4 linked regions of the Astyanax mexicanus genome follow. The protein of the gene in region 4 binds, or shares a complex with, the protein of the main gene of each other region. Links are inferred from orthologs where the notes say so. Each region holds a gene or a part of one and is shown on either strand. Other genes may lie near its edges.

Evidence for each region.
Region 1: cmc1 (region 4) and cytochrome c oxidase assembly factor 1 homolog share a complex: the UniProt entries of both Homo sapiens proteins name them as parts of the MITRAC (mitochondrial translation regulation assembly intermediate of cytochrome c oxidase complex) complex. The link is inferred for Astyanax mexicanus from reciprocal best matches to the Homo sapiens genes CMC1 and COA1.
Region 2: cmc1 (region 4) and smim20 share a complex: the UniProt entries of both Homo sapiens proteins name them as parts of the MITRAC (mitochondrial translation regulation assembly intermediate of cytochrome c oxidase complex) complex. The link is inferred for Astyanax mexicanus from reciprocal best matches to the Homo sapiens genes CMC1 and SMIM20.
Region 3: cmc1 (region 4) and timm21 share a complex: the UniProt entries of both Homo sapiens proteins name them as parts of the MITRAC (mitochondrial translation regulation assembly intermediate of cytochrome c oxidase complex) complex. The link is inferred for Astyanax mexicanus from reciprocal best matches to the Homo sapiens genes CMC1 and TIMM21.

Annotation. Positions count from the first base shown.
Region 1 is NC_064415.1:54,745,145-54,752,085, reverse strand, and holds the start of cytochrome c oxidase assembly factor 1 homolog, read right to left. Parts: upstream 3,015-6,941; 5' UTR 2,927-3,014; intron 2,506-2,926; exon of another isoform or gene 2,159-2,505; intron 1,285-2,158; 5' UTR 1,246-1,284; coding exon 1,152-1,245; intron 402-1,151; coding exon 250-401; intron 153-249; coding exon 76-152; intron 1-75. Other genes in the region: blvra (biliverdin reductase A), read left to right, coding at 5,148-5,266, 6,208-6,327, 6,502-6,599. UniProt on the Homo sapiens protein: Component of the MITRAC (mitochondrial translation regulation assembly intermediate of cytochrome c oxidase complex) complex, that regulates cytochrome c oxidase assembly.
Region 2 is NC_064415.1:23,373,212-23,380,004, forward strand, and holds smim20 (small integral membrane protein 20), read right to left. Parts: upstream 2,359-6,793; 5' UTR 2,297-2,358; coding exon 2,188-2,296; intron 1,154-2,187; coding exon 1,097-1,153; intron 958-1,096; coding exon 917-957; 3' UTR 510-916; downstream 1-509. Other genes in the region: plaa (phospholipase A-2-activating protein), read left to right, coding at 2,928-3,076, 4,314-4,507, 4,689-4,789, 4,921-5,041, 5,197-5,364, 6,122-6,257, 6,387-6,556.
Region 3 is NC_064408.1:91,587,787-91,595,618, reverse strand, and holds timm21 (mitochondrial import inner membrane translocase subunit Tim21-like), read right to left. Parts: upstream 3,025-7,832; 5' UTR 2,698-3,024; coding exon 2,379-2,697; intron 2,277-2,378; coding exon 2,214-2,276; intron 1,471-2,213; coding exon 1,373-1,470; intron 1,275-1,372; coding exon 1,201-1,274; intron 1,082-1,200; coding exon 976-1,081; intron 857-975; coding exon 764-856; 3' UTR 169-763; downstream 1-168. UniProt on the Homo sapiens protein: Participates in the translocation of transit peptide-containing proteins across the mitochondrial inner membrane.
Region 4 is NC_064408.1:130,761,534-130,769,286, reverse strand, and holds the start of cmc1 (COX assembly mitochondrial protein homolog), read right to left. Parts: upstream 3,024-7,753; 5' UTR 2,900-3,023; coding exon 2,881-2,899; intron 1,394-2,880; coding exon 1,301-1,393; intron 1-1,300. UniProt on the Homo sapiens protein: Component of the MITRAC (mitochondrial translation regulation assembly intermediate of cytochrome c oxidase complex) complex, that regulates cytochrome c oxidase assembly.

The sequences.
Region 1 (6,941 bases), on a different chromosome or scaffold from region 4:
TTTATTCTTTTTTTTAAATCATCATTTTGTATTTTTAAAAGGTTGTTTGTGATGGCAGGTGAAGAAGCACTGTACCTGTTCATCACCGAGTCTCTGGTGGATGTTGTGTACAGATAGCCCCCAGTCTTCTGTCCAGTCACTGGAATTTTCAGCTGGAAGTTGAGAACAGTAGATCCAAATCTGTGAGTTTTTCAGATTAATAAACGTGAATACGCTCAATAATCAACACTATCAGTGAATAAGTCTGACCTGAGCCTGGGTGTGGTCCACGCGGTTGTGCCGATCGGTCAGGTGGATATTATGGATCTTCAGGGGTGGAGCCCCGAGGCTGGCCATGGCTGTGGAGTTCTCATTCAGCTGCTCAATAGCCAGCCTATAATACTCTGATTTAGCGAAGTTTTCTGGGAAGAAAAAAAGATGAGAAAAAAAAAACAGGAAAAATCATTTAAAAAAAAGTTATGAAATAAAAGAATTGGGGAAAATACAATGTATACAATCAAAAGGGCATCTCACAGTACAATATGATCATGTTGCCCACAATCACAATCACACCACAATACTGTGATTCTGTTAAACTTCATATGTTTTAGACAGTTCTCTACAATATTTCACAGCATCTGTGTTACTGAAGAGGATAAAATACTCCTAATACTCCTTCAGACTATAAGGCGCACCGGATTATAAACTGCACTATCAATGAACATCTTTTTTCTGGTCTATTTTCAAACATTAGGAGCTTCGGATTATAAGGCAAATTAAACAACACTAGTTAGGATGCCTACATTGAAGTGAGCAAGGCTGTCGCCATGTTTCCCTTCTAATAGGGAAGCTGGGGGAAGTGCCTAAATAAAAAAAACTGTAATAAAAAAAACACATTTTTTTTTCAAAGCCAAACAAGTGCTGGATGTTAGTCTACACAGATTTCTCTACTAAAAACTGTTTATTTGTGGTGGAGTAATACACAGAGCTTCGGTTAGAGTGCATTACCGGCTGATAACAGCACTCATAGAACGCCTCTCAGCCAATCGCATTGCAGGGTCGGAACTCACAGAAGTATAATAATATTAAACATGGCACTTGACATCTAATGCCTGCCCACAATCAAATTATTCTCTTTCAAATTCTAATAGAATCTGTGTTTATCTGCTCACTCTGCATGAGGTAGTACATCATGCCACATCCTCCCCCAGTCATCACAGTGACAAATATTGTCATCTGCTGCAGCAGGCTGGTGGAGCGGCTCATCTTCTCATACCCTCTGGATCTCACACGATCTTAGCAAACCTGAAAAAAAAAAAAAAAGTAAAAATGCCAAAAACACAAAATGCCTTGATCTATTAACCCAGTCCTCTTTTTTTTAGTAACTACTGCACTTAATTTAAAATAATCCACTCAACTATGGATTACGTTTTATTACGTCAAATGAACAAAATATGAATAAAATTAAATAAAATAAAAAATTGTGGTTTAGAGTTTAGTGCCACTAAGTGACACATAATGAACATCCTGAGAGCATCACTACCAGACAGAGGGTTAATCTGTGTTTGTTCATCTCACCTTATTTACAGAATGCTAAAGTGCTTTAGAGTTAGTGCTGGAGTTAAAGCAAAACTAGATCCTTTAAAAAGTGTATTTTTGCTTTTACTGATCTATTCCAACCATTTTAACAATTAAAATCTTTTAATGAAATGTTTTATGTTCCACAGAACTAGGTCTGATCTGATTTCTGAAATAAAATGTTATGAAATGGTTGTTGTTACATCATAATTTTAATCTTAAAATAATATGTATTTTGCCCGCAGTAAGAAACTGAATTTATCTGATTCAACTTTGAATTTGGCACCAGCATTCAGAATTGGGTCTGGGCTCTTATTATGGTTTAAGGGTGCACCAAATCCTTTTATATTTATAACCATTTATATATTTTTATTAATATCTGAAATGTGTTCCTTTGAAGTAATGAAACATGTCGATCCAGAATAAAATCTGATAAACATTTCCTAATTAAAAAAAAAAACACGTTTATTGTAGTAATTTCCACCTCTGCAACATAATTCTCAGTTTTAACTGCGCTATAGGCGAGGATGTTTCCATGTACTTTGGTAGAAGGATATTCACAATATGCAAATCAATCAATCAATCAATCAATAATACCAACCTCCTGCTTATCCTAATCAGCTCTTCCTTCTGCCCCGCCCCTAAACCCATACATCACCAGCACCATCACAGTGCAGCTTCCAAACTACCCTCTCATTTTTTGTATTTTTGTTTTATTTGCACTGAGGGTGGAGTCAGTAAAAATCAATGGGTTTACGTGCCCTTTAATTCTTTGTAACTTGTGAACAATTATTTTATTTTAATAGTGCAGAAATCACACTTTTTTTCACTAATTTATTCACTAGCACCAACAGCTCCCTCCCAAAAACGAAAATGATGTACGGTAGCTAGAACATGCGGAAAAGGAGGCAGTTCTATGTAAATGAAATCAGAAAAAATAAAATATAGGTTAAATAAAAATAGAAAAAAACATTTGTTTTTGATAAATAATATGTATTTACTCTGCTGCTCTTTATAGGTCGCGTTTTAGATCATAAATCAGATCATCAGAACGTTGTTTCTATGTCTTCTTGTCAACATTAAACAATGGTTAGGACTTTAACCCCATAGTTAACTAGTTAATAAGCTAACAAAGTATTAAACATATAGCTGACTTATGGTCATCAACCAAAACCCTTAAAACCCTTAAAACCCAGCATTGATAAAATCTCCCTCTGCGTTATCTGCGTAACGTTCAGCACAAGCACGCAAAATCCCCGTTAGACAATATCCAGTGTTCCAGCCTTTTTCTATCATTAATCTGTATATGAATGTAAATCTGGAGCTGAAGCTAAGCTTTAACTCGTGATAATAAACCAGTTTAACTGACCGTCCCTCTAAACTGCAGGCTTTCCCTCACCGCCGCATGGGAGCGGCCATGTTTGTTTTGAACCGAATGACCCTCTTTAACCCTTAAATCCCCGGATTCACAGCAAAATCACAAAAAAAAAAAATAATAATAATAATAAAATAAAATAAAAATAATAATAATAATAATACAGCTGAAAATAAAATAGTCTATCAGTCTATCAGAAGTTTATCAGGTCACTACTTTTCTTACTATAAATATGAGCAACAAAAAACATAATAAAAAGAGCATAGAAAATAAAATGCATAGTTGTAATCATAGTAATAGTGATAGTAATAGTAATTGTTTTCCCAAACATGTTTTCAAGAGCATAAATGTTTAATGCTAAAGCTAAAATAATAAGACAAAGCTTTAATACCCAAATGTCTTATTACTACTGTCACTTTTTGTTTTTGTGGCAAATACTACAGAATAGAAAAATGATCCTACAGACTAATAAACTAGTGAGAATTTTTCTACATTGTAAATTTAATATTGAAGAATATATTAAAGCTACGCAGGAACACATGCTAAACTGTTATGTATACAAAAAAAAAAATGTAACCAACCAAAATATACTTTAGATTCTTATATAGATTGTTACATAGATTTAGATTTAGATACTTTAAGAACAACATTTATCTTTTTTGGGACAGATCTGCACACTCTTGGTATTTTCTTAGGACTAACATTTTGTGCACTGTTTACTACGTAATTCCATATGTGTCTCTTAATTGTTTTCATGTCTTTAATATTAATCTCCCTTTTTACTTTTATTTTTTATATTTTTACATTTTGGTTGAAATCATACACACCACTCATCTCATCATTAGACCCCATAACGTAGTGCAGACATAATAACAATTTTACAGAAATACTGAATTTAATTTAAGCATAAAGTCTGGGAAATAAGAAATAAACAAATGTGAAGATAATGGGGAAAACTCCAGAAGCACTCTTTCTGCAGCATTCACTGGAGGGAGTCAGAATGCGCAATCTGGCAACCCGTGCAGGCAGCCCTCCCCTGTGTAGAGCGAGTTATGAAAGTTGTGAGTTGAGAGTTATATCACTGCAGCCGCAGCAGCAGCAGCGCAGCCGGACAGCACAGCGCGCAGACTTTCAGAGGTAAGAGACAGCGCTCCGGGCTTTAGAACAGTTCTAACTAAGCGGTTTTAGCATGTCGTTGTGTAAATGTCCTTCAGAGACTCGCCTCGTGTCTTTCTGTCATGCACGCGCTTTATACACCACACTGGCATCCCCAGCCTCCTTGTATTTAAACCATATTAGGTAGCCGAAGCGATATTAGCGCGCAGAAAGGCCGGATTATAGAGATAAACACATATCTGTTACAGTATAACCCATGCTGTGTTACATTCATAAACACAGGATCCTTTCAGCTACATTTTAAAACAAAAACGAATTGGGTCTAATTGCAATTTCCGGTTCCACCTTAAATTCAGCTAGTTACAATAGAGAGCCTGAACAAGCGCCAGAGCGCAAACAATGCAGCATTTAAGGTGGAACGGAGAAATAAAAAATAATAAATGTAAAAGTATGTTTGACAGTATTAAATGGCAAATTATACAATTATTTTTCTTCTTTTGAAATGTGGATAAAATAAAAAATGGAAACAGTCATAATATACCCCATAATGTAATTGATAACAGCAATTCTACATTAGTTTGTACATTATTATAATAAATATAAAAATTATAATTAAACAGTTATAATATATCCCACGATTATTCCTGCAACGTCCTCCATCTCAAAAAACAATAGGAACAGCTGAATATGAGACTTAAAATGCATTTAAATGTCTAGATGTTGTTTAAACTTAAAAAGTATTGATATTTAGTAAGTAAATATGTAATCAGTTTGTGTCCCCAGCACTGTTATAAATTAACGATTAGTCAACAATAAAATTTGTAGTGGACAAATTTATTTAATAAACACTGTTGATTTGATTATATCAACTAATTGTTGCAGCCAAAATTAAAAACACAAAATTAAATTTAGCATCATTTTTGCAGAAATTGATCATTTGTTTGGTCAGTCACTATTAATTCACCCCAATATCATATAATAACAAATATTATTATAGTAATATAATGCTGTTTGACTGATCTAATAGTTTAATAGTCCCATGTGTCTTCGAACTTTTGCTATGCTGCCCACTGACTGTGTGCTCTTGTCCACAGGTAACATGTTGGGGTCTGTGGTGGTGGGCCTGGGCATTGCCGGGGGGGTGCGGATTCGAGACCTGCTGGCTCCTCTGCCTTCCAGCGCCGCGGAGAAGTTTACAGTTAAGGGATTTGTGTCCAGGTCAGTTGCATTCCCCTAGAATGGAGAAAGGTTTTTTTAAATGTGTGCATAATTAAACAATAAAGATGTAAATGCAGTCAATCAGGATGTTTGGTGGAGTGTGGAACAGTCATTTTTTTAAAACATTTTAATTAATCAGTTGTCATAGCAAGTTGTTTTATAAATGTTATTAATATGTTTTGTGATTCAGAATTTTTTTAATTTAATTCTAATAGACGTGAGAAGATGTCCTAAAACATATATAAAAAAATACATAACAAAATGCCATCACCAGAACTAAATACTACAGTACTTGTTTTAAAAAATATGGATGTTAATGATAGCAGAGTTAAAAAAGGCGTAATATTTAAGGAACTCATTAAATAATCATAATTGATCATATTACACTTTTGAAAGTAAGTTAATAGTGGTAATAGTGGTAACTCCTCCTAAACTGTGAGATAAGAAAACCACTGAGCCGAGAGATAAGCAGCACCCCAGCCCTTGTTACACCAGTCGCCCAGTTCAGAAGGATATGTACGTTGGGTTAGAGCATGCCATGCTCGAAGTTAAATTACATTTTAAAATCTTCCTTTTGATTTTATTCTAGAGGTTTTAAATTGGTAAAATAAAAATAAAAAACTCATAATTTTTAAGTGGTGTCTTATTTTTTTCCAGAGCTGTATTTCCTACCCCTAAAAACAATAAAAATATATATAATATTAAAACTCTACAAATATTAGCATATCATCTAGCCTTCACTTAACTCTTAACTCTGTCTGTTCTAAACTATATGTTAAGCTGTATTAAATCAGAAGTGTTTATTGATCAGTGCTGACTGATCATTGATCATGATGTCAATTATCTCACTCCATTGCATCAGAGAAAGGAGTGTTTATCTACTAATTGTTTTTGGGTGAAAAGTTCCAGTATGGGGGACTGACTGTAAATGTTTTGTTTAGGAGGACAATGGAGGACCAGCAGGGAGTCCAGCAGATCCCTCTAGAAGAGGCTCTAAGCAGGGATGACATTAATGTGGCCTTTGTTTGCACTGAAAACACCAGCCATGAAGAGCATATCAGGTAAGACAACTATTGACTGCTGAACTCTCAAGAGGGGTTTCCTGTTAGTCCTCTGAGAGTCTTCTGATACTCATTATACTGGGCTGAGTGATGGACTCAAACAGAAATGAAATATTGTGATATTATGAGGTACATTAGCTGTGATGTTTCTCACACGGTTTCATTTCCTCTCAGGCAGTTTCTGGAGGCAGGGAAGCACGTATGCGTGGAGTACCCAATGACCACCAACTACAGCTCTGCAGCTGCTCTGTGGGAGCTCGCCCAGCAGAAGGGTAAGCTAAAGATAATATCTGCACTGTGTTTGTGCTGAAGTCAGCTTGTTCCACAGGAAACATCATGGTCTTTCTTGCTTCTCGTTTCTCTTGGGCAACAGTGTCCAGCTGTGCCTTCTAAAAAAGGGATACACCACATATTTTCAGAAAACTGTACAAAAAACATGGTATTTTTTAATTAGCTAAATGACCAATGACTTATTTACTTGAGGTCGTAGTACAGTGTTATACTAATTAGAGCTTGGTATTAAAACTAGATACCAAAAAAACACCAACCGCAATGTCTCAGTACTATTGAGTACCGAAAGGTAAAAATAAATATATAAATAAATAAATAAATTG
Region 2 (6,793 bases), on a different chromosome or scaffold from region 4:
CGTAAAAGAAGAAGCCAACACCATAACATCGTAACCCAGAGAAATCGTTTAATTATTAAGCTTCAGTTGGTAAGGTTAATCCTCTAAACACATCTGTGCTTCTGTGCTTGTAGATTAGCTCTTGATTAGTGTCTCTTCTGACATCCTCACAGCACCCATCACATCTGTTTCCCTGGAGCTTAGTCACCACACCTATCCCATCTTTCAGTGTTGTGTTTGAAAGCTACTTAGCTATGCTCTAAATAATAAATAAATATGCTGCAAATAATGTTAAATGGCCTGTTGGAATGTTGGGTTATTAATATTATTAATAAACAAAATATTAAATAGAAAAACATTTTAAATTTCCCATATCTTCATATCATTTGCAATGGAAACCATTCATATAATGCTACACTGTATCTCATGAATAAGTCACTCTGACTGAACGTGACCTATTGGATCTACAAGGCTTTGTGCTCCCCCTAGAGCTCAGCATGCTTCATTACAAACACAAACATACTAGATAGTTCCAAAAATCACATTTTATTTCATTCAGGAATAAATCATTCTATACATTACAACATATGACAATGAATGACACAATATTGTGGCAGGTATTACATATTACTGATTTTTTCCCCCAATGTAACTTTTTCCAGATGATGGCCTTACTCCAGAATTGTACCATTTTTCCTGTAATACACAGGCCAGCTATCAAAGACTGAATGAGTGTTAACGTGTTACAGCCAAGAAAACTAAACAGGGAAAATTAGGAGTCTTCCAGGGAATAAGCTTCTTTCACTCGCTTGCATGTTAAATGGTTCATTCAGTCACACTGAAGTGAGAAGTGCATAATGTCCCAGACATTTGCAATGATGTCTTTATGTTCATGAATCTCTTTTCCCATCTGTTTCTGCTACTGCCTTGCATCACATCATGACTTCGGTTTGAATGGATCTGACCAGACCTTCACTCCTTAAAATAGAGAAATCGCAAAGCATGAAAAGACACATGCCATACATACTGTTTCTCCATCTGTATGTTTCCTAAGCTTTTAGCTTTAGCTACACATAATACAGTACTTGAATGTTTACTGCAGAAGAACCAGACATACCAGCAGGCTGAATATCTGCTTGATTGATTCCAGCTCGGTTGATTTTCTGGATCTCCCCTGTAGAAGTTTAGGATTTAACATTAGACAGAGTGGTTGAGGTCGACCTCACAAAGGTTTGCAAAGGTTCATATCACTGCAATGCTGGGTTAGGATTAATAAACAAGCCTGACATACAGTACCACTCAAACGTTTTGACACACCCCCTTCTCATTTAATGTTTTTTTTTATTATTATTTTTTATTATTATCTAAATTGTAGATTACTAATAAAGAAATCAATACTATAAAGGAACGCATAGGAAAGTAAACAAAAAAGTGTTAAACAACCCAAAATATCATATATGTTTTATACTTTAGATTCTTAAAAGTAGAATGTCTTCACATTATTCTTTCAGGCGTTTTATGAGGTAGAACCTGGAATAAATAAGTTCCTAGAGGTACTAAGCTCTTATTAACTGCTTTTCCGTTACTATTAGCTCCATCTCTTCCCAAACCACCTGGGATGGATTTTTTATGTCAGGTGTTTGTGAAGGCAGAACCCCTTTTTTATCTTCTACCTAACTGCATATAGAGTTCCACATTGTTTTTGAGTCTTTAATACTAATCTACAATGTAGTAAATAATACAAGTAATAAACAAATTGGGGGCTGGGGAAATTTTCAATTCTTAAATGCATCTCGATTCGGACATGGACGATTCTGTATCGATTCACTGAAAACAAAAATCGATTTTCTGTGTCCAAACTTTTGAATTGTACTGTGGATTGATAGATATTGTTTAAATAAAGTTCCCAACAAAAATACATTTATATGTACATATTTACTTAGCTTACATTGTTACTGGCCACGCCATAAAATAAAATACAATAAAATGTAGCTAACTAGATAAAATAAGAGTTCTTAGTTATAGTCATACATGTTTCTATATAATTAGCGGTAGGGAATCTATCTTTCTAATTAAGAACCTTTTAATATATTGACATACGGTTATATGACAGTTGGTTATTAAAGGGTGAGAGCAGTTAGCTAACGTTATTTAACATCACTGGCAAACTAGTTATTCACAGCAAACTAGAAACGCTGATTAACTCACTGTACTCCTCTTTGTGAGAAAGAGGGTGGAAGAATATCGGGTAAAAAGCTGCAGTCACTGCGGTTACGAAGCCCCCGAATATGAGTGTTATTCTCAGGTTTCTCGACATGTCTGGACCTTGAGAAAGACAGAACAGACAGGTAGCTAGCTTAGCTAACCTAACTCTATCCGGGTCAAGTTCAGCACTCGGAAATTAACCCATTCATTGCCAGTAACTGCATTAGCAGCTATTTATTTTAGTATGCGTTCTGATTGGACTTAAACCTAAAAAAAAAATAAATAAATAAAAAAACAAAAACATAATTATTTAAAAATATCTTGTAAAAACAATGGTATTGTTAAATTAACATGTTATTTCTAAAAAGAAGAATAGGTTGTAATACACCATCGGAGGGCGCTCCCAGAGTCAACAATGAAATTGGTTCATATAGAGCTACTGAGCAAATTGATAGTTTATAAACGTTGAATCTTTTTTATACTAAAAATTGTACTTATTTCCTCATCACAGAACAATATCAAATATTTTAGTACAGGGGACTTTTATGTTGTAGTGTCTCTACATCTCTGCTGCGGAGGTCTTTTCTTTTGTAGAGTGTCTCTCGGTCTCTGCTGCCGGGGTCTTTTATTTTGTAGTGTCTCTCCCTCTCTGCTGGACGGGGCCGCTCGTGCTCTCTCAGTTCCGGGGCTGAATGAGTTTTGTTTTTTATCGTGCTGATTTAGCGGAGCTCTGAATTTACACCATGGCCTCTCCCAGCACCTACCGGCTCAGCTGCTCCATCCCGGGCCATGAGATGGATGTTAGGGGCCTTGCCGCCGCGGTTTTCCCTGAGGGAGGTTTCGTCTCCGTGTCGCGGGACCGAAGCGCCAGAGTCTGGGCTCCAAATTTAAGGTAGCCGGTTTAGCCGGCAGGCTACAGCTAACAACAGAGCCCAGCTAGCCTCGCTAACAGTGTTTATAGCAACCAGAGCGGCCGGCCGGGCAGCTCTCAACACTGTAACCATGGTTTAACTAGCTTACGTTACTCCTTCCACTATGATACTATTTTGTGAACGATATATCGTTCCTGAAATTGTTGCGATAAACGGTATTATTCTCAATTTTAGAACATTTAAATGCCACTGACATAATGATAACAGAATAGCTTAACTAATAAATTATAATGTTACAATTTTAAAGACAACCAATTTCTAATTAATCATTGATTGATAACTATATACTTTACCTACTGTAGTCCACACTAAGTGTAGGGAGTCACAGTTATTAAAACATTGCTCATTGCATGACTGGCTAAAACACTGTTCACTGTTATGACCTATATGTGAACAAACATACAAGCCACACAATAGACAATATCACAGTAATCAAATATTGTTCAGGTATTTACTATACAATAAATCGATTATATAATTATCGTGACAGGCCTAGCTTAGATTAATTGATTAAATAATATTGTTAATAAAGAGGCTGGGCTCTGATATAAAAGTTCTTATATTTTGGTAAATGATCATGCACTGATAGAGCTGGGTGATATGGTAATAATATTATATTTTTATATATGATGTACAGTATTAATATTTTGAAACACAGAGTATAGTGATTCTTATTTTATTTTGCTGCACATCATCCAATTAAACAGGATTTTTTATACTCTCTGTAATAAAATGTTGTACTGATGATATCCTCAATATGGTTTAAAAAACTGATCATAATATAAAAAAATATCAGTATATTGTCCAGCTATATTTGTCACAGTACTTTTTGGGACTATATACCATCCAATCAAAAGTAGTTAATTGTGACAGACCTACCCTAAAACGTCTGTAGAAGCCTTGAGCAATTTATTTTATTAAAAAAAAAAACTACAATGACACTTAAAACAGAAGGGATGTCTGAGGTTTCAGTTTTAGATTTTGCTGTTAGTTATGTACGTGGCATATTTGTGAAATGTCACAGTAGATTTGGAATGTGCATGTGCATGCTCATCGGCTTACTGACTCTATATCTATTAATACTGTCTCTCGCTGTTGTTAGTGGAGTGTTTACTTTGAGCAGCGAGCATGTTGCAGGTGTTCACAAGCTATAATTGAAAACGTGTCTTGGTTGCTTTGTATTTTCTTATTCTGTAGTGAAACTAGAGGTTACACGGAGATGCACTGTATGAACGGCCACACGAACTTCGTTTCCTGTGTCTGCATCATCGCCCCCAATGAAACCTACCCCAGGGGCCTTATTGCAACAGGAGGCAATGACAACATTATCTGCGTCTTCTCCTTAGACAGACCGGACCCTATGTTTACTCTGACAGGACACAAAAACACAGGTGTAGTGCTTTATAATACACATAAGTACAGTCCTTCTCATCTTATCATCAAGAAGAGTCAAGGCTGTGATTATTTGATTTTTCTTTTTTAAATAATGGATTAAAAATAATATATTTATAGAGTGACCAAAACCTTTATGGCCACTTATTCATTCCAAGTTTCTAATCCTGCTGTCCACAGTGTGCACACTCTCAGCTGGGAAGTTTGGGACGTTATTGAGTGGATCATGGGACACCACAGCTAAAGTCTGGCTCAGTGACAAGTGTATGATGACTTTACAGGTAATTCTGCCTTAAGAACTGAAGAATTATTTGTTTTTGAATTCTGTTTGCTTGGGAATTCTTTGTCCTGAGCTATTTTAATATGCGTGTGTGTAATGTATGGGTGTGTCTGCTTTTGTTTCTGTATGTAGGGGCATACAGCAGCAGTATGGGCTGTGGTGATTCTGCCAGAGCAGGGACTTATGCTCACAGGATCGGCTGACAAGACTGTTAAACTCTGGAAAGCTGGACGCTGTGAGAGAACATATTCAGGTGAGCCTCATAGACATTTACATTTTCATTTCTTCTGAGCTAGACTGTGTGCTTTTCTTTTTAAATGATCAGATTCAGTTTCGTTTTTTACACGAACCACAAGAGGTCAGTGTTGAGTTGATTGTGTGTGTTTTATTTATTTTTTATTGTTGCAGGTCATGAGGACTGTGTTCGAGGACTAGCTGTAGTGAGCGATGTTGAATTCCTGTCCTGTAGTAATGACGCCAGCATCAGGCGATGGATGGTGACAGGAGAATGTGTTCAAGTATACTACAGTCACACTAACTATATCTACAGTCTGTCTGTCTTTCCAAATGGACAAGGTGAGGATTTTAGTACTTATAGTAGTTTTTTGTTTAATAGAGTTTTTTTCTAAAGAGAGTAATGTGAACAATGGCGAAAATAATATAGTTTTATAGTCTTATATTTACATTTACAAATGGACAGTGGCACTTGTTATTAGAAAAATAATAAAAAGTCAAATGACTTTCCTAATCCCTAATAACATTTAGAGTATCTGCCGAGTCACGATCCAATACTTTAGAAATGCAGTAAAAAAACAAAACAAAACAAAAAAACACATCCAAGTGGTCCGTTAAGGTCTATTTAATAAATTGTATTTGCAATTGTTATTGAAACTGTATCCAAAAATACCATTTTATTACAAAAATGTGTTTGTGAAAGTCTTATATTGTACTAGGAAAAATAAGAGGAGAATGAAACGTGGATAAAAAATAGTTGATGGATCGATAAGTTTGCTGGCTTAGTGTTCATGCTAGCATACTCGAAAACAGGTGATACACATCACATACCCGCTTTCCTAGCCTACCAGCGTCCTAATCACTCCGCCTGAAGGGTACACCCACTCAGAAATCTGATACATCAGTCATCCGGAACTTTTTCACTCAATTCCGACCCTTTGAAATTATGTTATCGATCCTGATTTCCGATCACATGATTGGATCAGGGACATCTCTAACTGTCAGTTAATTTGAATGATTAGTAAATAATTGTATTAAAATATGAATTCATGACAAAGCTTCTTCTCTCTCTCTCTCTCTCTCTCTCTCTCTCTCTCAGACTTCGTAAGCACAGGAGAGGACCGCACAGTAAGGATCTGGAAAAATGGTGAATGTGCTCAGACAATCCGTCTACCTACCCAGTCAGTCTGGTGTTGCTGTGTTTTACCTAATGGAGACATCGCTGTAGGAGCCAGGTACACAAATGATCTACATTGTGTTTTCACTTACAAAATCAGCTGTACTCAAACATTTCAGACAGTTGATTATTATTGAAAACTAGTGTAGACACTTATTAATTACATTGATTTGCGAACTGTTCACAGTGATGGCATCATCCGTGTGTTCACTGAGAAAGATGAGCGTGTAGCGAGTGCTCAAGACCTGCAGGCTTTCGAAGATGAACTTTCTAAAGCTACTATTGATCCCAAGACTGGAGATTTGGGAGATATCAAGCCTGAGGAACTACCTGGAAGAGAACACTTAGATGAACCAGGTAAAAAAAGACTGGAATCTTTTAAACCCTGTCCTGGTGTTTAAGAAAAACATTTAAACATTTGAAAGCTTCCCACATGTTGTGTTAGACTTGCAATCAGCAGATTTTGTGCCTTCTGCAAATACCATGCATAAATGAAAAAATTCTATGGACTTTAGAACTCAACCTATGAACATGCCTTTACCCGGGCTACAGGTGTAGGTGATACAAAACTCTGCAGTAAAAAAAAAAAAAAAA
Region 3 (7,832 bases), about 39 Mb from region 4:
CTAAGTGAAAGTTGAAACCAGGCCAATTCAAATAAGATCATCCCCAACATATCATCTGATCTTTAATGTATAATTATTATTTATTTTTTTGTTTACAAAAAGTTAGAAAATAATTGTTTCTTGGCATTTTTAAAGCACCCTGCTTCACAAAAGCTTTATTTCTTGGCAATCAAAATTCAAATATGGCCATTATTTCTTATTATTGTAATAAAACAATATTACTGAATGGCAAATCAATGCTCACATCCATGAAGTAAAACAGATCTTAATATGTATTATTTGAAGCTGGCCAAGGACCAGTGCAAATAAGGCAGTTTGCAAGCATGTGAGTGAGTTCATTTTCTTTGCTTATCTGGAAGCAGTTACTTTAATATAGTGAATGAAATTACCCAGAATGACATATGAATGAAATGTGGCAGTAGTAAATGGGCCCATTTAATGGCAGTCAAACTGACCACTGACCTGAGAGTAAGCAATGTGGATGCCCGGTGTAAATGCATAGAATTTGAGTTAATTAAAAATCTTTAAAAATGATTCAGGTCCTACAGTGTACATAGATATAATTGTATTCACAAAAATGACCAGGATATGACATCTGAAGGCAAGAAAACCTGAACTCCCCCTAATGCTTATTTGAAATACTGCCATTTTGAAATCATTACCCTACACATAAACCTAGCTTTATACAAACAAGTTCACCGTAAGAGTTCCACTGGGAGCTTGAAGAGGTTTCTATCTGTTCAGGATTCACTGAAAAACCATCTCATCTGTTATCTTCAATCACGATTGTCCTCCTGGGATAGGCGTCTATATCCACAAATATGTAGCGGAATTCATATCTCCCCGTCTCAGGATTCTGTGGAATGACAAACATCCAGAAACATCTTTATATTAGAAATCTCATCTGATTAAACTGATAAATTCCAGCAATGAAACACATTAGTGTACACTGTAAACAAGAATTTTGAATTTCACCTGCTTTGCCTCTGAATGTACAGTTCCGTGCAGTCCTGGCTCTGAACCCTCAATGTAAAATTTCAGCCTCATGTGCTGCTGGCCATCCTTCACGTATTCAATATGGCTATGAGAACATTAAGGGAGTTAAGTCAAATATATAAAAAATTAAACTGTATGGTTTATAACTCAACTCTCTTAAATATTAATTATTTTGTCTACTATTATTTTGCTATTGCATCATACCTAACTTGTTGTCTCCTACCCCGGCGAGTGGTCTCACCATAGCCTTTGATGGGCTCACCAAAAGCTCCAATTACCTAAAGTAAGAAGAAAATTTTATGTATTCATGAAATAAATAAGTTAATAAAAAATAGTGTAGTTTTATAATGACATTCTCCAAATTAGCAAATTAGACCTCTGGGTGTGATCTGCATTTTTCAAAAGCTTTCCCATAGAGTTTGCTTGGACTGGATGATGAAAACAGTTCTTGAAAGATGACATAAAGAAGTCCACCTGCAAAAAACAGGTGAATAATTTTAGAATCATAAATCCTGAAATAACCAGCGATAAAACCTATGTATTACAATCTTTTGTGCCCCTTTCTATCGTTGCCAGGTTTTTTTTTATTTATTTATTTACGTATTCTTTTGACTGTGACCTAGTAGGTTGATGATGGAAAACCAACCTTAAAACAACCTTTATTTAACATTTAATAGGCATTGGTTAAGGCTGAAAGGCTCTGAATGGCTTAAAAAAAGAAGGTTTTGGAGTGGCCTAGTCAAAGTCTGACTGAGATGCTGCAACGTGATCTTAAACAGGCCGTTCATGCTAAAAAAAAGCTCAGATGGGGCTGAATTAAAACAATTCCGCAAAGAAAAGTGGACGAAAATTTCTCCACAGAGATGAAAAAGACTTATTGCCAGTTATCAGTAAAGTTTAATTGCAGTTGTTGCCACCAAGGGAAGCACTGCAAATATTTTTTCACACAGGGCAAGATTGTTTTATTTATTAAAAGAAAAAAAATAATTTAAAAAGTGCTTTTAATATTAAGATCGGTTTGATAATTATAAAAAAATATCAGAAAGGTATCAGAGGGGCAAATACTTTATATTCCACTGCGTGTGTGTATATATATATATATATATATATATATATATATATATATATATATATATGCAAATAAATAAATAAGAGAAAGCCTGTCTACTGGAAATAAGCATCCATAAAATAAAGAATAATTTAGAGCTTTATCTTACCTGTAACTCCAAGACCAATGAGCACCACTATCAGATAGGTAAAATCTTTGCCAGCTTGTTTGACTGTAGGAGGGAGACAACCCCAGAGCACAGCACATTTAAAGTCACACTAAAGTTTCTGCATAAAATCGCTGTAATGAGCTGTAACACACCCCCTGAACCCACCTTTCTGTGCAGCTGAGACTCCAGAGGAGGCCTGGCTCTTGTGGACTGATACCTGATCTCGACCCCTGCCCTGTCCCTCAGGGTCACTCGCATTTCTGCACTGACCTCCAGCGTGGAAACCTCGAGTCTGAACACCAACACAGCGAGGCAGGCATGTCCACCGAGTTAAGGGCAAGTTATTGAACTTTACCTGGATTAAAACAGGGTTATTCACCTGCAGAGGTGACACCTGTAGAGATGGGGGGATGTTTACACGCTTCAGTAAGTGCTGTACACAGTGTGAAGTCCTGCCACTTCTCAACAGGAGTGAATAAACCATTATAACCGAGGTTAAGAACCAGTAAGGTAACTGAGTTAACCTGCTGCTGTGGTTCACTGTATTTAACTGATAGCTAGCTAGAAAAGATAGCCTGGCTAAACACTGCACAGGTCTGGGAGATACATAGCACTAGCCAGCTTGTTATTTAATCGGTAAGGCTACACTTTAAGCTGCAGTGAAATAAGCAGCTTCTCTTTCAAAGACTGAAAATGGTCAAACTGACCGTGACCCCAGAAAACTCAACAACACAACAATCTCACTCCTCACTCATGACTGGAACAGCCTGCCATAGCCTCACTGGCGCCAGCTAGCTAATCCCCCCTTCAAAATAAAAGTCCTCTCCGATAATAACAGCGTGATTAGCAAAATAAACCTGTTTATAAATCTACACTTATGAGTAAATGTGGACTTTATTACAAACATCGTCACTTTTATAAATACAGGCCATATTTCTCCTTATTAAAACACTTTATCTTTAAATGTTGGGGTACTTTTATTTTTTTTATAATGAACTTTGTCTTGACGTCTGGCGAGTTCACAGCATTTCTTGTAGCTGAGGATCATGGGAGTTGTAGTGTTTTGACTTCCATAATAAACTCTGTTCAAACGTCGCTAAAACTACAAAAGAAACTAAACATCATTGTCTGGAAATATTTGTTCTTTCTGTGAACTAAATATTAACAATCTTTCTTAAGAATGTTATTTGCTATCTCTCCAAAATAGACAAATATATGGAAAATGTAGTTATGTTGTATTAAATATTTAATTAATTTTAGTTAATTTTTTAATGCATAAATGCAAGTTAAACGAAATAAATGTACTCTTTGCTTATGGCTGAGATTAGGTTTTAAGATTAAAAACACAGGGTTTCTGAAATCCTATGGAATATATGTGTTATTTAATAAAATTTTTGTTTTCCCTATCCATTCTATGTTTTTGGAGTTTATGAGTTTTATTTGTATTCTCCTGAATCTCCTCATATTTCACATGGTGCAGTCATGTGTGCTGAGTGTATTGTCTTTCAACGTATTTAATAATAAAAACCAAAAACAGAAAAATGCTAAATCCAAACAAATGCATAAGAGAAAATGACTAACAAATAACTAACCATAACATTCTTGGTTCTTGGTCTCAAATAAGCAATTTACGTAAAATAAAAACAAATATAATTCTGTTTTCACTTTTGCTGTATTAAAAAAAAAGAAAACATTCAAAAATACTAATAATCAGTGTTGAAACAAGAATTTTGACAGAATTATTCATGTCTTTTATTAAAAAACATTTTGTCTATGATTCACCTAATGCTGACCCAAGTAGACCTTCTGGCAAATGAGCAGGTTTTGAACATACAGACATTTCATGTTTTATATGGAAAAAAAAAGATGTGTGATCTACTTTCATACCATTGATCAATACCTTGCAGCTTATATATGATTGTAGTAACATTTCTTTCTATTCAAATATGCATAGACAAGACCTGCTGACCAGTTTCTAAAGATTTTGGTCAAATCTGAATCTAATAATTAATTTTTAGTGAATGTGCACTTAGCGGGCAGAGGTTAGGAAATTGAAAAACAGATCACAGAAAATCAGGTCAAATAACTGATATCTGTTTATCAGGTGATAATAATAACAGTAGACCGCAGATGATTTGTGTCAATTCTGTAGCTAGTTAGCCCATATTATAAACTCCAGGGCTGAGGTGAATTTCTTTTGGACACAAATGAATGAGGTTTAAGGTTTTTTAAGGTTTCCCCCCTAAATGTCTCTGGATCCTCATTTGCTACATCTAATGGGTCAAAACAAATGACTGATTAATGCTACATCTATGCTTACAGCTAAGCTAACGTTCCTGCACACTGACATGGCACAGTGCTTATGTCAACAACTACTTTTTGAGCTTACTACAGTAAAATATACATTTTTATTCAAACTCTATCGCTACCAGAGACATTTAACTCTCTTTATTTGATAAAGCTGGCTGGTTTGTTTGGAGTATTTTGGTGAAACAAGTCTTTTCAGTGTGTTGCAGTGTTAGGCTTAGTCTGTAACTAGCAAAACGTGTATAATTCAGAGGATACAGGGGCATTTAATAAAAAATACACATAGAAAAAATTCTGTAGGGTTTAAAATGTGTGTGTTTACCACAAAAGTCACAATTTTCCAAAACCTAGGAAATTAATTATGTGAGAGAGGAATCTACATAGAGTTTATAATGTGGGCACTGACTACAAAATGACAACACGACTCCAGTGGCCTGTGCAGCTCAAGTCTACTTTAGGAAAAGGAACAAATTTGCATTGACATTCAGTAAAGTTTAGATTCACATTTTAGCTTTAGATTCTTTTCTTAAAGGTCACAAAAGAGAAAAAATAATTACATTTGTTTCATATCCCACACAATGGATAAAAATTAAAACAATGGAAAATGAATAAAAAACAAACCAACATCCCCATCCTATTCCCAGTACAGTATCCCCACCCCCAAACATCCCAATCCGCCCCTGGATTTCAGTTTGCAGTCAGGAGATGTAGACTTATGTCTGTCTACTCTCTAGGCACCACAATGCTGTTCAGTGGCTGAGCAGGTTAAAGTCAATGTAGGAACACAAGTTAGTGTCGTCCACCAAAAGCCAAGAGGCCCTAGGCAATCAGATGAGAAGCAGACGCTGCCCCACTTAATATTCGCTGAATCTGACAGTCCTGTCTGTAGGAGGATGTTACGAGTTAGTCCCTTAAGCTGTCAAACATGGAAAGACGCAGGGCAGTGATGCATCTGCCTGTTGAAAAAGTAAAAAAACACTATTAGGGCAACCCTGAAGACAAGCATGTCCTTCTTTACGCTCTGCAGTGCACATTTTTGAACAAGAAAAATAGAAAACATGGTTCCAGATATCTGGCTATAGGCTACATATATTTAAAGGGATAGGTCTAATGCCAATGTTGTTGATAACAATGAAATGATGAAAGTGAAAAGTCATCATTAAGAATTTGCAAATGACATCATACAAACTGGTAACAATTAGCTTCCATTCCCTATTTAGCTGAGCTATTTAGTGCTCTAAAGGTTAAGATCCAAATAAATAGTACAAATTCTGGTTTTAGGAATATACAGCAGTACAGACATTTAAACAATGATAATAGTTTGCAAATATATAGTTTTTAGGACAAGAGCCCTCACTTTGATAAACCAATCGAGTCTAAGGCATGCCACTCTGACTCTAAAATTTACTCCGCATTGCCATGAGCACCCTGGCCAAATTTCATCCTCACTGATAACACAACACCTCACATATTATTACTAAATTGTGGGTGGTCCCAAGCTGTTCCCGGAGGTAACACTTTATCAAATTATGTACTGCTGTTCCATGACATTTGGAATTCACATAATTTTGGTGTTTATATATTTTTAGCTTATATGTAAAATATGAAAAATCAGAACACACACAAATAAAACTCATGTTCATGTTTTTGATAAAATGCTGGAACTAACAAGTTAAAATAAGAAAACAAAAATGGTTCTATAAGTAGGTGTGTCCAAGCATTTGACTGGTACCATACATCACTAGCAACAATATATATGTGTGTGTGTGTGTATATGTGTACAGGAATTCTAATGCATCACTGAATCACAGAATGGTATTAGCATTACCTGTTAGTAGCAGAGGCAGTGTGCATATGATCTGTCCTTGGAATTGGAAAAGACAATCATCACAGTATCATCAGTCCAATTTATACAAATTTGTTTGCTATTTAATTATTTTATTTCACAACATGCCAATGACATCATATTAATCCCAGTTCAGGGACACCAACTAACGCTTTAGGATTTAGGCTCAGCCGGCATAAGAAAACATGAAAGGGGCTCTTGTCAAAGTTTATTATTTTCTTAATGCATACATAAACTGTGTTAAAGGTGGTCCAGCTTTCAAACAGCTACAAAAATTTGTGTACAAATATTATGTGCCACCAAAATGTAGCAAAAGTTTATGAGTGTGTTTTGCACCTGCACTTTAAATAGATTATACAGCAAAATTAATTAATTTAATTAAAACATTTTTAAAATGAACTTAGCCACACATATTTTATCTTTTTTAAATATTTAAGCATGCATATGTTAGTGCAGTAATTTGCCTTCTAAGGGGGGTTTAGTTTAGTTCACAATGCCTTGGATTTAACTTAGTATGATCAATTGTTAAACGAAATGACAAATAGACATAAGACATGCAAAAAGACAAAAATGTTTCTCTTGGCCTGAGGTAAATATATGTAGACTATAGATATGGCTGTAAATAATCTGTGTCAACACTGTTTATCCGGTGTAAAAACAACAAAAAGAACAACAACAAAAAAACATATTTTTATGGAAGAATAACAAATGCATGCAACAGGAAAGTTCTGTTTACACTTATTCTTATAATGGAAGTAAAATAACAGTTAATACAGTGTGTTTGTCCAATGTCAACCAACGGCCTGAATAATTAAAAAAAGGGCAAATGGATTAAATAATGCTCGTCCAAAATTCAAGTTTTAGATATTTCAAGCAATTTCAATCTAAAAGTCTCTTTTTTTTCTCTGCTACTGTGTCCATTTACATCTGCAGTGTGTTCTGTAGGCCCTATGCCTGTGACTACAGTGTCCGTGCCATCATGCTGCTGTAAATCTCCGGTCCATGTTTTCATATTTCTCTGAAGCTCGTTCGTACTGATCCAGGACTGCACTATTTTCAAGAAGTCTACATGATGGAGACAATGCAACATAATGTAGTGTGAGCAAAGACACACAGACAGAGCACATTTTACACTGTGACTACAACAGACATGAAAACATAGACTTCATGTAACCGAGTCGATGCATTACCACAGACAGTATGAGAAAATGCTCTTCCTGTTCATTCAGGACTGGCAATGAATTCTAAATGTGTACAATGTGATCGAGTAGTGCATAACAGGCAGGGTTTCTTAATACATGGCTGGTATAAACCTAAACATTTTTGCATGTATATACTGATTGTATAGACTGATTAGCCATACCATTAATGACCTACTACTGTTCTACTTACCGCCTAATACACAGTATATTACAGTATATAGTGAATGGTTTTTATATTACCTACTTGGATATCATGCAGTTCAT
Region 4 (7,753 bases):
TTGAATTTTTGCACCAGGAGTAAAGCAGCATAAAGTTATCCAAAAGCAGTGTGTAAGACTGGTGGAGGAGAACATGATGCCAAGATGCATGAAAAAACTGTGATTAAAAACCAACCAGGGTTATTCCACCAAATATTGATTATTTCTGAACTCTTAAAACTTTATGAATATGAACTTGTTTTCTTTGCATTATTTGAGGTCTGAAAGTTCTGCATCTTTTTTGTTATTTCAGTCATTTCTCATTTTCTGTAAATAAATGCTCTAAATGAGAATATTTTTATTTGTAATTTGGGAGAAATGTTGTCTGTAGTTTATAGAATAAAACAACAATGTTCATTTTACTCAAACATAAACCTATAAATAGCAAAATCAGAGAAACTGATTCAGAAACTGAAGTGGTTTCTTAATGTTTTTTAGAGCTGTATATAACAGTGTCAGAAAGATGGGTTTGCATTCTAGGTAATGGGTCTTCCGACAAGACAGTGACCCGTGCTCGAAGAGAGACGCATTCTGGTAGAGGGACAGAATTCACTTGGATCGTTCTACAAACCAATCAGTGCTGAGTATAGTGAGACTCCGCCCACATTCGTAGGTGATGTTGACAGGAGGTAGTAAAGTTTTTCAGCGTGTCAACCACTAAACTGCAGTGTGAAACCAAAACTAACGGGACGAACACAAGTTCGGACTACAATACAGCAGAGCTGTAGAAGAAGACTTTGCGGCACAGTTACTCTAGTTCTCCACGAGAGGTCGCGTAACACAGTTCCAGACACAGCGCCGTGGTTTCTGGGTGTTCCACGGGGTCGGGGTGCTAAAGGTCGGCGTTGCCACGGCGCCGGGGAACGTCAGCGATGGTATCTGCGGCAGGGTGACGGGTTCAGAGATGACTGGCGGAATCCTGAGGAGCACAGAGCTGAAACTGAGCTGTTTATAGGAAACGCTGAACTCTGGAACATCCCGATCTAAATGTCACTGTGTGTTTATTACACACACACAACACACATAGTATACACACACACTACACACAGAATAAACACACACACACACTACACACAGTATAGACACACACACTACACACAGTATACACAAATAAAAAAAATTAAAAAGCTATAAAATTTTGGTTATCAGGTTTCATTTCAGCAATAAAACCTACTAACATTAACACCATGATCTACTGCTCTCTCTCTCTCTCTCAGACTCCGGCTGCTGATGGATTTATAAACTCCAGTAGTAAGCACCGGTGGGTCCGCTATGTTCTAGAATCTCTGGGTTCTAATCCTGTGAGGTTTTGGTTCCATACCTTCCACCACTTCAGAACATCGCACCTTCGCCTTCTCCCTCATCATCTTCGGGATCAGCACGTCCAGCTCCACGTGCCTCAGGTGAGGCTCACCTGAGAAAACAGAACCGCCCACTAAATAACTGCACTGATTAACATACATGGCAGTGCTCAAAAATTAACACTGCAACTAAAATTCTGGTAAAATTAAACCATTGCACATGAAATTCTGCTAGAATTACCTTTGCAAATCCAATTTGCAATAAATTAACCATTGCATATAAAATTCTACTGAAATTAACAATTAAAAATGAAATTCTATTAAAATTATCCATTGAATATAAAATTCTGATAACATTTACTTTGAATGAAATTTTAATATGACCTACCTTTAATTATAAAACCTAAAAACAATTACTTAAAAAATAAAAGTTTATCCTACATTACCATAAGAACGAAACTCAAACACTTTGGCAGATTGTGTGGGTGTAATTTTAAGAGTGAGAGTGAATTTCTAACAAAAAATACTTTAAGAATGAAACTGAAATTGAAATTAAATTAACTTCAGAACTGAAACTTTAATTCAACAATAGATGTAATATTGCTAGGGATCTGATTAAACTTTGCAAATAAAATGCAGATTAAATTCAACTTTGCAAATTAAGTTCTGATAAAACTAACCTAAATAGAATTATAATATGATTAACATTTGATAATAAAGTTCTCAGAGACTTATTTTAAAAAATCTATCATTCATTAATATGAGAATGAAATTCAAACACTGGCAAGAGAATGTAATTTAAATCTGACACTAAAAATCAAATAAAATTATATTAACCAATGACATTTTAATATGACTTTTTTTCATTTTTACAAAAATGTTTTAGAGGTGTGCGGCCAATATAACAGAAACACCATGCGAGACACTCAAACAATAGCCATTTTTTGAAATTCTATTAAAATGAACTCCAAAACTTTAACGTAACAATATTTCCATATTGTAATTTTACTTTAAAAAATAAATGAGTAAAATTAACTCAAGAAATGTAATTGTAATTGGCTACATTACCAGTACGTTTAATACTTGGGTGGACAAAATAACAGAAACACCAAGTGAACGTGGGGGTGTTTCCAATATTTTGACAATCCCTTTTCTAGGTTGAAAATGACCCCAAACTGTCATTTAAACGGAGAATATGATTTTTAATTTATTTTAATAATAATAATAAAAGCTAAGTTGTCTAAACACTGCTGAACTCTCCGTTCCACCTTAAATGCTGCAGCCACGCTGTATGTAACTGCTGCACTATTTAAGGTGGAACGGAGAGTTATAACAGCTCAACAAGATTTATAAGGAGATATTTAGCTTTATAACAGCACACACAGGTTAAACTCGTCTTTATGACAGAAATAACTGATTATTAATATCAGTTTCATGTTTAAACTGTGTGTTTTAAGCTCGAATTCAGGCGATTTTCGCTCTTTTAGCCCAACTTTGCCCTTAAAGTACAGAAATGCTAACTAACTTCAGCTCATTTTCCCGCTAAATATCCTGTTTTCTCAGCAGCGCTGTGAAGAAAAGCAGCTCGGGTGATTTTTACCTGATTTAGAAGAGTCCATGAGCCTGTTAATAAACTAAAAACTGATAATAAATCAGAAAAACACCAACAAACACCAGACTTTAGCTTTAGCCGCGAGCTAATGTGACCCCGCTGCTGCTGCTCCAGCGAAGCCGCGCCCCCACAGTGCCACCAATAAAAGTCCTTCATAAAAGTCCTTTATTATTATTATTATTATTATTATTATTATTATTATTATTATTATTATTATTATTATATTTGTTTACATAAAAATAATCATTTATTAGAGAAATAAATAGTACATGTATATCAAATACACATATTAATATAGAATTGAATAACCGTTTGCAATGCGTTTTTTTTTTTCAAAATAAAAGTCACCCCTAAAATTCGTGACTAGAAAATTATATATTTTTCATGTTTTGAAAAATATTAAATTACAGCACAAATGTTTTTAGAGCTGGGAAAATGTTGATTTACTTAAAGAGAATTAGTAATAGAATGACTGAACTGAAATGCAGGATTGATGCCCAGTTAAAACGACTACAGTTGGTCGCTATGGTATCCCAGGTCATGGTATGACGTTTCTGAGTGGTTGCTAAGGTGTTGCCATGTGGTTGCTATGCTATCTGTGATGGTTGCTATGGCGTTGCTAAATAGTTGCTATGGTATCTGTGGTTGTTGCTTTGGCATTGCTAAGTGTTTGCCAGGTGTTTGCTAAGGTGTTGCCAGGTGGTTACTAAGCTGTTGCCATGGTTTCTGTGGTGGTTGCTATAGCATTGCTAAGTGGTTTCTTTTGGGTTGCAATTATGTTGCCAGGTGGTTGCTAAGCTGTTGCTATGAAATCTATGGCGGTCGCTGTGACCTTGCTATGTGGTTGGTAGGGGGTTGCTGAGGTGTTGCTATGGTATCTGTGTTGGTTGCTAGGGGTTGCTATGATATTAACATTGCTTTGCAAAGCGCAACCATAATAAATATTTTTTAAAAATCACAGTTTGCCGCACAAAATAATAAATAATAAATTATTTACAACCTGTTCAGCCATCACCAAGTCTTGGGATGTCTTAAGGCACATTCATGAAGACAGTTAAATTACAGTTCTGGTTGTTTAAATAATTTAATAAAAAATAATAAGATATTGAATAAGGTAGACAGTAACTCCAACTGTCCTGAAATCTGTTCAGATAGCATAAAGGATCTGCCTTATCTGATGTAAAGCAGCATCAGATGAGACTTGGTATTAGCCATGAAGAATTGGGCCAAATTTTACTTGCCAACTGGTGTTTTGATGCAAGCAGTTTGGGCCGATTTCCATATTTTATCCAATAGCCAGGGTGTTGGCACATACTGCTCAGGTCGATTCATATATTATACTCCACAACTGGAGTGTTGGCAAAAACATATTGGGCTGATTGCCATATTATATTCAGCAACCAGGGTGTTTGTACAAACCAGAGACTGTAAAAAAAGATGGACGCTGTGTCGCCGTTCCCGTTCATTCAATGAAAACGAAGCCAAAATCTTCCGCCATGTTGCCATACCCGAGACTGCACAGTAGAGTCCAGAGGAGGGAGAAAGACTGTGTAGAGACAGCCTACTCATTTGAATAACTCCGCCCCTGAGGGCTGCCTCGAGGTCACAGGCTGCAGAGCGGAGCGGAGCTGACGATCTGTTATTGGTCCCGCCCATAACCAGCCCTTTTACAATAACCACACCTTTTTGAATTGAGCTGAATAACATTTAAAAAACGAATTCTGTGGGGATATATACATTTGGCGATATAAGCAGAGCTTACACTAGCTGTTAGATTTAAATAATGGAGGTAGAATTACAGTATATTTGAAAAAAAGGGGTTAAAAAGCTTTCTGCAACCGAACAGCAGGGGGCGCCCGACCTGTGGTGGCTTCACTTTTGAGAGACAATGCTCTGTTCAGCTATACACAGTCTATGGTACAAAAGGCTTGGGCAGATTTCTATATTACACTCAGCAAGCTGGAGTGTTGTCACAAACATCAAGGGACAATTGCCATATTATACTCAGCAACTGGGGTGTTGACACATGCGACTTGGGATGAGTGCTATATTATAGTCAGCATTCAGGGTGTTCGCACATGCAACTCAGGTCGATTCATGTTATACTCAGCAACCAGGATGTTAGTACAAATGGCTTGGGCAGATTATTATATTATACTCGGCAATCTGGGTGTTGGCACAGACGACTTGGGACAATTGTAATATTATACTCAGCAACTAGAGTGTTTGAATAAACGTCTTGGGCAGATTTCTATATTATACTCAGCACCCGGGGCGGTGGATTGGGACAATTGCCATATTTTACCCATCAAGCAGGGTGGTGAAACATGTGATCGGGCCAATTATCTTTTTACACTTGAGTGTTGGCTCAAACATCTTGGGCAGATTCCTATATTATACTCATCAATCAGGTTGTTGGGACTAACAGATGTGCTGATTGCCACATTATACTCAGCAACCGGGGTGTTGACACATGCGACTCGAGCCAATTCTCTTTTTACACTTGGCAATCGAGGTGTTGGCTCAAACGACTCGGACAGATTCCTATTTTACACTCAACAACCGGGGTCCAATTGTCTTATTACGCACGGTAACCGGGGTGTTGGCTCAAATATCTTGGGATGTTTTTTGTATTATACTTAGCATGCTGGAGTTTACTATACTACAGTATACTCTGCAACCGGGGTGTTGGCATGTGCATCTCGGGTCTATTGCCTTATTACACTCAGCAACCGGGGTGCTGGCTCAAACGTCTTAGGATGAACATGGGAACGATTAAGAGTGGTTTTTGATATCTGGAAGCAGACTGACTGGAAATTGGGTTAAAATCAGTTATAAAATTGGGATTAAACCTCGGTTTCAGTACTCAGTACTCAGTACTCAGTAGAGTTTTACCGGTATACCTGGTGTTTTTGGGGGGTACCGCTGAGCATGTTCTGGTGTTGGAAACGGTTCAGGCAGCTGCTCTCTGCACCTGCTACACTCAGTCTACCCAACTCAAGACAGTCCCGACCACAGCTTCACTTCAAACCCGACCACGAGTCTGCGCGAGAGCCGTGCGAGAGCTCACCACCGCAGTGGAAAGAGCGCCGGAACGTTCCACCCCGAGGAGCTGCGGCCGGCCTGCGGTTACTCCTCCTCCTGTTTGTTAAATAAACCCTTTGAAGTGTCATCTTCACTATCTTCACCATCTTCACCAGCCTGAAGCCCTGTCCTCTCACGCCAATCTCTACACCGCATCACCTTCAATAAAATACACAATCAAATAAAAGTTCCACAGAGTTAAAATACAACGTGATGACGAGGTCCAGGTGTCATTTTGTTCCATTCTTCCTGCAGATGCATCTTAACCTTCTATGGCATGGTTATTACACCTTACTTCCCTTTCATTTTTATAATGTTCTTTTTTAAATAGAATGTGCCCACATGTGTCCATCCAATACAATATAGGGACATAAAATGATTTGAGGAGTTTTTCTTTTAGGAGTCAAAGCTACATTCAACATTCAATACCAACGAAGTGGTATATTAAATTATTATTTCTTTTACATGTCTCTAAAAAGTAATTGTGAGGGCCTTTGGCCAATACTTAAATAAATAAGTTATTTGAATTTGGTAGGATTTTTATAGTCATTTATTGTTTTACTGAGTTGTAGTGACATATAAAACATGGAAGTGGAAAGGTTGTTTCAACTCACTTTCCTGACTAACCCTAAGCTGACTAAATATATTCCATTAAACACTGAAATACAAAAGGGCCAGCAAAAAAAGAACAAATCCATGCAACGGTTTGTGATAAACTTTCTGAGTTCTGAGTGTCAACTACTTGAAGAATTACATTACATTACATTGACCCATATAAAGGTATTTTATTTAGGTATAAATTTAATTGTCGACTAATCGTTAATTTGCAAAAATACTGCATTACACAAAGTGCTGGGGACAGAAGCGCAATGGGAGATAAATGGGAGATTACATATTTAATCACTAAATATCAGTACTTTCCACATTTAAACAACATTCAGGTATTTAATGCTATTTAAATCTCATGTTCTGCTTTTTCTATAGAAATAATTGTTGACTAATCTACTAATCGAAACAAAAAAAGAATCGTCAGATTAGTCGACTACTAATAATAATCATTAGTTGCAGTCCTACCGTCAACAGATATTGAAAACAGATTATGAGTTAACTGCACAAGAAATCTTTAAGAAGTCTTTATTTATATAATTGAGTACAATATATTGTAATAACAATTATACTGTATTTAATTGTATATTAAATTGTAAACTTGTACTAATGCGCACTGCTTCAGGAACATGATGATGGAAAATCGGGGACGCTTCGGTTTTGCCCGTCCTCTTGAGGTTAATTAGGTCTCAGCTGGAGCCTCTGACCATCCGGAGGGTTCCGACAAAAGTCAAGTCCCTCCCGGCAGGTGAGGGTCTGCCACACCTGCCCACACACACTCACCTTCACCTTCATTTACCGCCTGATCCTCCCTGCCAGCAGGGGGGGTCAGAGTGCACCGGAGAATCTAATAACATCACATCGGCGACTCGTCAAAGCCTGCCAACATCTCCCCGGCGCAATATCCCGCTCCGGCGGGGTCCGGCAGGTGCCAGCAGGGTCCGGCAGGTGCCAGCAGGTGCCGGCAGGCTGGCACGGTGAAGGTTAGCAAAGTTAAACCCTTTTACAGCACGGCTCAGCGCCCCGGCCAACCGCCGACCGCCCAACTGTCCGGCAGACCCCGCCCCTCGTCCCCCTCACGCCACATGCTAAAGACGGTGCCCTGGCTCCGGCCCGGGCGGCACACAGATGGCACTCCCATCTTCCATTAAACCCTATAAGGATTCTGCTG